Linked DNA regions of Caenorhabditis elegans. The protein of the gene in region 1 interacts with the protein of each later gene in a pairwise test. Each region holds a gene or a part of one and is shown in the gene's direction. Other genes may lie near its edges. The genes, in order: mlt-3 and nekl-3.

What was found.
Region 2: the proteins of mlt-3 (region 1) and nekl-3 interact in a two-hybrid assay, tested with the Caenorhabditis elegans proteins (one study listed by BioGRID).

The regions. Positions count from the first base shown.
Region 1 is NC_003282.8:12,225,406-12,229,336, reverse strand, and holds the start of mlt-3 (SAM domain-containing protein), read left to right. Parts: upstream 1-2,224; 5' UTR 2,225-2,284; coding exon 2,285-2,596; intron 2,597-2,748; coding exon 2,749-2,817; intron 2,818-2,870; coding exon 2,871-2,969; intron 2,970-3,132; exon of another isoform or gene 3,133-3,153; intron 3,154-3,931. Other genes in the region: sre-18 (Serpentine Receptor, class E (Epsilon)), read left to right, coding at 84-140, 194-346, 391-566, 1,019-1,152, 1,202-1,280, 1,327-1,425.
Region 2 is NC_003284.9:12,389,360-12,393,290, reverse strand, and holds nekl-3 (Serine/threonine-protein kinase nekl-3), read left to right. Parts: upstream 1-1,816; 5' UTR 1,817-1,818; coding exon 1,819-1,983; intron 1,984-2,028; coding exon 2,029-2,117; intron 2,118-2,164; coding exon 2,165-2,249; intron 2,250-2,291; coding exon 2,292-2,400; intron 2,401-2,445; coding exon 2,446-2,573; intron 2,574-3,022; coding exon 3,023-3,211; intron 3,212-3,299; coding exon 3,300-3,371; intron 3,372-3,424; coding exon 3,425-3,496; 3' UTR 3,497-3,659; downstream 3,660-3,931. UniProt on the Caenorhabditis elegans protein: Probable serine/threonine-protein kinase required for the completion of molting.

The DNA.
Region 1 (3,931 bases):
TTGCGTTAAAATTCAAAAAATCCAATCAAACTACTCCTCAATATAGACAACAGGCTACTTTCTTGAAAATCCTTAATTTTCAGAACTTCGATTGCTGCCACCATCTTATTTTATGTTTCGTGCATTTATAAAATCCCCTCGTGAGTTGAATCGTGTGTAGACTTGTCTTTAATCGTGAAAACTAACTTTTTAGCTCTTTTTGCACTGACTGCAATAATGTTGGAGCGTCTTTGCGCAACATATTATGTGAAGGATTATGAGAAAAATCAGCGGCCAATCATTCCATTTTTGATAATAATTTTTCTAATAATACTATCCTTTATAGCATCAACTGTCTTTACTTCTGGTAGGGTAATATGTTATGAATCAAAACGTTAATTGGATTTTCAGTTGGTATGGTGTTATATTTTGGTGTCTGTCATTTCTCATTTATTTTTGTATGCTACATTGTCTCAGTAATAACGTATCGAACAAATCGAAGGTATTACTATAATAATCGTGTAGACCAACATTCATATTCATTGGGAGAACGATATCAAATTTCTGAAAATCTTCGGCTTTACATGGTGAGCGATACAATAGAAGTTTAAAAGGATGTTTTAAAGTTCAGCATTATATATTTCTTTAGAACAGACGGTTAACTAACTAATAGTAAGTGCATTCCATACTTGCCATGGAAAAATATATTATGACCGACATTTCGTGAGTAACTATTAGTAAAAAGTTTCTCGAGTTTTGCAAACATTCTTCGAAACACTGAAGTTAAAAAAAAATGTAAATTCGAATTCCCGCCAAGGTCTCAAGATCTCGAAGCGATAATAGGATTCACTCCGCCCGCAAAATGTACGTATTCTCGGCGACGTAGAATTTAACGTTGAGGACTGCAAATTTGGGCATGCATAATATATTCTTATTAGTCAATGATTATTATTGTTACATAGTTTTTTTGTTCAAAAATGCGCACGTACAGAAAATTCGATAATTTTTCAACATAAATTCACAAAATATATGTTTTCAGTTTTTCTCGCACTACCTTTTCGTAATGGCTGTTTTCCCCATCATTTGTACCTTAACCATTGTCCTCGACTCTTTCAATTCAAATTTTTTGTTACGAGAAATTTATCAAATTATTTTTGATTTAAGTTTCACATTGTAAGTTCATTTAATATTTTCTTTGCCCATTCCCAATAATTCGTCACAGATTATGCTTCCTTGCTCCTTACCTGACATACAAAATGAGTGAAGCATGGCAAAATGAGCTTCATAGAATATATGTCAAGGTGAGTGACTAGTCATTGTGATCGGTCATACTCAAAATTTTTTCAGATAGGGTTGAGAAAACCGAACAAAATTCAAAGTGTTCGATATAGTTCGAGGAAATTGAAAGGGACATTTGGAGAGGATATTAATGTGGAAATGAATTAGCACACTGATGTATATTTTAATCAATTGAAAGCTTCATGGGATGATTTATCATCGAATGCTGTCAAAGATACAGTTAGAAATTTAAATTGAATTGTATTTCTCTGATTTTCAATGGTTTTTCTTTGTTTTTTATTCTAAAAGTTTTTCAATATAACGTTGTATTTATAGCACCATATGTATGAAACTTTGGCGAATTTAGACAGATTTTTAGGTGTTTTCAACATTTCCCCCTCAAGGTCTCGTAGCAAATAGTGTCGCAAAAAATTATAATATCTTTAAAGCCCCACCCACAAAATGGCTCCACAGAGCTACATTGGTGTGATATAGCGGTATTTCAGAATTTATAAACAGCTATTCATTTATGACTATTTCAATGCTAAATTTGCAAATTCATCTACCGTTCTAAATTTGCAAATTCATCTACCGTTCTAAATTTGAAAATTCATCAATTGGCAACTTCGGCAATTGACGAAATTGCCGAAATTGCCGAAGGTTCGATTACCGAACGGCAGTTGGCGAGCACCCATAATTCGCAATCTTGAAAGTATAGTTTTGATTGTTGTTAGACGCGAGTTTCAAAAAAGATTTAGGTTGAACCGGAAGTCTTTGTGACTGGTTTCCTGTCGTTTCTCTTGCTTCGAGAAATAAATGATTGAAAAAGTCACAAAGACTTCCGGTTCAACCTAATACAATTATTATTTTTTATCATGAGTCATCCACTTTTTCCCCCTCAAAAACTGTCCTCTCTGTGTCTACAGTCTCTCAAATCACGGGAAACTAGTTCCAAAATGATGATCTCATTTTCTATCTATCAACATTATCTTCTTATTCTATTTCTTCCAACATCTTATTATTGATTATGTCGTTTCGTGTCCGTTTTTCACAAGAACGTCCCGGAGTCACATATGTTCCATCGAGTAGATCTGGCAATACTGACCTTTTTAATGATATTTTCTCAAAACCAATGCCAATAATTCGAAATGAAGATCATGTTCTTATGGATGCATGTACTGCAGCAAGTATTGGAGATGAGAATAAACTTAAAGAATTAATGAAAATTAACCCGAATACAATGATTATGAAGAATCATGATGGATGGACGCCACTTTTGTATGCTGCTTATTTGGGCCATAATAGTGTTGCTGCATTTTTACTGGATAATGGCGCCAAGGTACGAATTTCAAGAAGTTTTAACAATCAGTGACAATTTTGCTGTAAAATATAAAAAAATGAACCGTATTTTTTCAACCAAAAGATCTTGAAAGATGATTCAAAATTCTTGAATGATTGTCTCCCCAAAAATTGATTTTCTCTCAAATGCAGGTTGATGACTCTACAGAAAGCCGCTGGCAAACTCCGCTGATGATGGCTTCAGCATGCGGAAATATTAGCGTCGGTTTTATGATTTTTGGAATCTATCAAAAATTTTTAATTATTTTTCTCAGGTTGTTCGATTGTTGTTAGGTAGAGGAGCAAATCCCAGACTTTGCGATAAAGAAAAACGTCAAGCAATTCATTACGCATCAAGTTGTTGTCAGAATGTGGTAAGTTATTTTTATAAAAGAACCAAAATTTTGAAAACAAAAATAAGTGGCATATTGGTGGATGTTTTCAAAGAATTTCTGGTCCTTGTTTCTTGGGAAATTGTGTACAAATTTTTTCCTTGTTCGAGAAATTGTCAAATTTCATAAGAAACTGACAACGAGATGAAAAAATGATCTCAACAAAATACTTTTATGTACACAGGTGATTCGCAGTGTAAGCAAAATGCTTCGACGCACACAATGCTCGTGTTTGCGAAAACGTGCGCCACAGTGGCAAGCATAAAGGGCACAATGCGAACTCTCGCAATGTGCGCATTTTGTTTGGCCGTTATTCCCATCATTAAAGTGCTCATTTCAGTTAGTTTAAAGCCATTTTTGTTTGAGTTCTCTGTTTATTGACTGTTTTTTTGCTGATACTAAAGTTTCTGAAAAACAAAACTCTCGATTTAGAAGGAACTTGTCAGATTTCGAAAATCATAAGGGTCCCCCCTTATGATATAAAATTTTTGATGAAATTTTTTTGTTTTGAAAATTTTTTCGAAAACATGGTGAACGTGTAGAAAATGATCAGTTTGATATTTTCTACAAGTGTGAGAGTTCACAATGAATGTTCAGCCAAGAAATCATGGAAAGTCTAGAGTTGGGTCATTGAAACATAGTATGTTTGAGAGCTCCTAACTTCCTTGAGACGTAAAATACAAAACTTTCTTCAACTGAAAAGTTGTCAGAAATCAACTGAACAACGAGTTATTAGTTGGCAATATTTTTCTATCTTGCATGTTCAAGAAGTGGGCACAGTTGAGTAAGAGCAAAACATCACTGACTTCAACAAGCCATATTTTGGCACATTACACATATAAGAAAAATTTTTTATTTTTAAAACATTTTCCATAACAAGCTAAACAAATTTGTAGTTGATCGTTTTTTGATATCTTGTATGTCCAAGGACGCTCACAGCTTCA
Region 2 (3,931 bases), on another chromosome or scaffold:
ATAGGTTCAAAATGGTTTTATTTGTCGAACTGAAGGATGTACATTCAGGTCTAATACAAATGCGCATTGAATATTGTCATAACGGTGAAAAAAAGTTTCGATTTTAAATTAATTTTACCAGAATTTATATTGCCAATCATAAATGGAAGAGTGCCAATTCTTTATATATATTTTTTCAAATTTAACAATAAATTTTTGGTGCATAAATAGAAATTAGTGATTTTTTTGCATGTTGAAACAAAATTTTGGTTTAATTCCAAAAGTAACGCGCAAACAGAGTGATTGCAATTTTTTGCAAAAAACCTTTTATGAAGTTTTTGGAAAGTTGGCTACTTTTACACTAATTGATACATCTTCAGCATTTTCCACATTGATGGTTGAGAGCTGAGCAAAGTTTACTATAAATAACCATGGAATGACCATGAAAAAGAACATGCCTATTAGTGTTGAAGTACTGTGCTAAGTACTTTAAATCATAACTAAAAAACTATAAAATTAAATTTATTGCTAATGGCATGACGATTGCGCCAATAACCGTTTCAAAATCTAAATTGGCGGGAGACCAAATCACCAGTCATCTAAAAACTTGATCTTCGTCATCACACGCAAACGAGAACACAGTGTAGAAAGATGAAAGACATATCGTCGACGACGACCCAAAGCAAATCAATTATTTGTATCACAAATCTATTGATCAAATGCATCCAGTAGGCAACTTTTAATTTCATCTCCCAATATACTTTTTTCACCTGAACGTTACATTATTCGAAAAAGAAACACATATTCTGTCTTCTTCCATATCAGTAGTTTTTTCGCTGCTCTCGCTCCTTGAATTTTGTTATGAATGCATGAGAAAACTTCTCCCGTTTTTTTCTTCTTTTTTCCCAAAAAAACTTGTGTGAGATATTGAGAGGAAAAAGAGGAAAGCCGAGAAAAATGAATCTCCTTGGCAACTACACAGCATTGAAAATTGCGACGCATATGAGGCTAAACTAGATGTCTAGCTATTTTTTGTGTGTTTTATTTTTATTCTATAGTGTAGTGTGTACCTATTATTTTAAGTGAGATATTTTCTCAATCGTTTCATTTTTCTGTCAGTAGTAGTAGTGAGTCATAGATAGGAATCTGTTCAGATTTGCTGACGTGATAAGATCAGTTATCATCAAATATGGGGATTTAGTTCTGCAAATTTTTCTGAGTCACAAGTAGTAAATACACGGAACAAATAATTGGTTTTCAACAGTTGTCTCAATTAATACCAAAAAGGGGGATTTTTTTAATAGTAACTAAAAATATATATGATACGTATGAAAACTTGACACTAAGCTTAAACAACACTCCCTACACATCAAGAGCCACGATATATGTGGGGATTTAAATATGCAACGTCTCCGTCCAACTGATTGCACCGTCATTTTTTATCCTATCTGCGTCATGCAGATAGACAGTGTAAATGTTAATTAGAAAATAACACACGGATTTTCACATAGCTATCATCATTTCTGTAGAGATAGTGTAAGTTACTAGTAATATCCATTTGAATGTGTAATTGTATCGGTGGATTCGGGGATTGGTCCGAGAAAACAAAAAAATTAGTTTTAAATGTAATGTAATTTTTCCAAAAGTTTCGGTCCTGAAGTATCAGGTAAGATTCTTGTTACTTTGAACATATGCATTTCGTCTGAAAATATAGGTCTTTGATTGTGTATGAAAAATTTTCAAGTTTATAACACATTGTTTTGGATAGACGTCTTATTAACGTTATCAATCATTTTTTTTTAAAGTAAGTTTGAAACATCAAACTTCAATATTTCAGAAATGGACAAAATTTCGAACATCTATAATTTTGACGATCCACCACCGGATAAACTCAGCTTGGAACTATTCATAATCGAGAAGAAAATCGGAAAAGGACAGTTCAGTGAAGTTTTCCGTGCTCAATGTACATGGGTAGATTTACATGTGGCACTCAAAAAGATTCAGGTTTGCTTTCAAACTTTAAGGTGTGCATTTTGAATTAATATTCAGGTATTTGAAATGGTGGACCAAAAAGCGCGGCAAGACTGTCTGAAGGAGATTGATCTGTTAAAACAACTTAATCATGTTAATGTGATCAGGTACAAACGGTGGGGACATCACGTGTTTTTGATAATTCTATTTATAGATACTACGCATCTTTTATTGATAATAATCAATTAAATATTGTTCTCGAATTAGCAGAAGCTGGAGATATGAGTCGAATGATTAAGGTTTTTTTTAATGAGCTGTGAAAACAACGAAAACATTTTTAGCATTTCAAAAAAGGTGGTCGTTTGATTCCTGAAAAGACAATCTGGAAATATTTTGTTCAATTAGCGAGAGCCTTAGCCCACATGCATTCCAAACGTATAATGCATAGAGGTACCCATTTATCATTTTTTAATTTTAAATATAATATCTATTCAGATATCAAACCCGCCAATGTTTTCATAACGGGAAACGGAATCGTAAAGTTGGGTGATTTGGGGCTAGGCCGATTCTTTTCCTCGAAAACAACTGCTGCTCATTCACTCGTGGGAACTCCTTATTACATGGTAAGACCTGGTAATTTCGATCAGAAAAACAAGACAGAAGTAATAATATTAACGGTTTGAGAATTATTTTGACTCGTGTAATTTTTATTGAAAAAACTATAACAAGAAATTGAAAAAAAAAACATGATTTTTTTGTAATTTTCTGAACTTGCGAATTTTCGTGAGTTAGACTTTAATTTTTCAGAACCAATATTTTATATATTTTTGGAGTACTTTTAGTAGTTTTACTTCACAAGTTTTAAACTATTTAAAAACATTAAAAACATTGTGGCATTCGTTTTAAAATAATTTTTGTTTAGAGTTTGTACTTTTCTTTAAGCCTAAAAATGCATTCACACTTCATGTTTTATTTATATCATCAATCAAAATTTAAAAAAAAATCTATTTCATTTTTGGGGTGTGATTACTACAAAAGTACTGTACATCTTATACACTTTTAAAGTTTTCAGTCACCTGAAAGAATTCAAGAATCCGGGTATAATTTCAAATCCGATTTATGGTCGACTGGATGTCTGTTATACGAAATGGCAGCTCTTCAGTCACCATTCTACGGTGACAAGATGAACCTGTACTCACTTTGCAAGAAAATCGAAAACTGCGAATATCCACCTCTGCCTGCTGATATTTATTCAACGCAAGTAAGTGCAAACCTGTGTTTTGTTCAACTTAGGTGTTGAAACATTTGGAATAAGTGCTTTCAGTTTTCAAATTCGAAAAAATTTTTAGCTCCGCGACTTGGTATCCCGTTGTATACTTCCAGAAGCTTCAAAACGACCAGAGACCAGTGAAGTTCTACAGGTTCGTTCCGCGTTAGCCTCTTCAATTTTGATAGCACAAACTTCAATTTAAAGGTTGCCGAACACATGAACAATTACTTCTCGCCTTCCGGGGACCAATCAACAACTCCTTCAACGCAATTCTAAAAAAAGCTATAACATTTCAATTTCAAACATTTTCTTTAAAACGTAGTGTTCTTGTATTTTCAAAAGGTGGAAACATTCGTCAATGACCACGTGAATCCGTGATGTGCTAAATTTTACTCTCATACTGTCTCTTAATTCATGTAGATTATAAATGTTTTATTTTTATATAGATTTTCCATTAAAAAACCAACACCAAAAAAAGCTTAAAAAAACGTTGTATTATTTTAAAAGCGCTGTAATGTGTAAATAATAAAAATGTAGGTAATCTATGTACGTTGGAATGGTTGTGCTTACCTGAAAGCTTCAAGTTTTTCAGACCCTTTTCGCTAGCTAAAATATTTTCTGATCACAAACCACAAGATCAGAATTGTTACCGAACATTGCGGTTTTATGGATATCAGCGTATTAGCAATTCAGTTAATCTTGTTTTGCAAA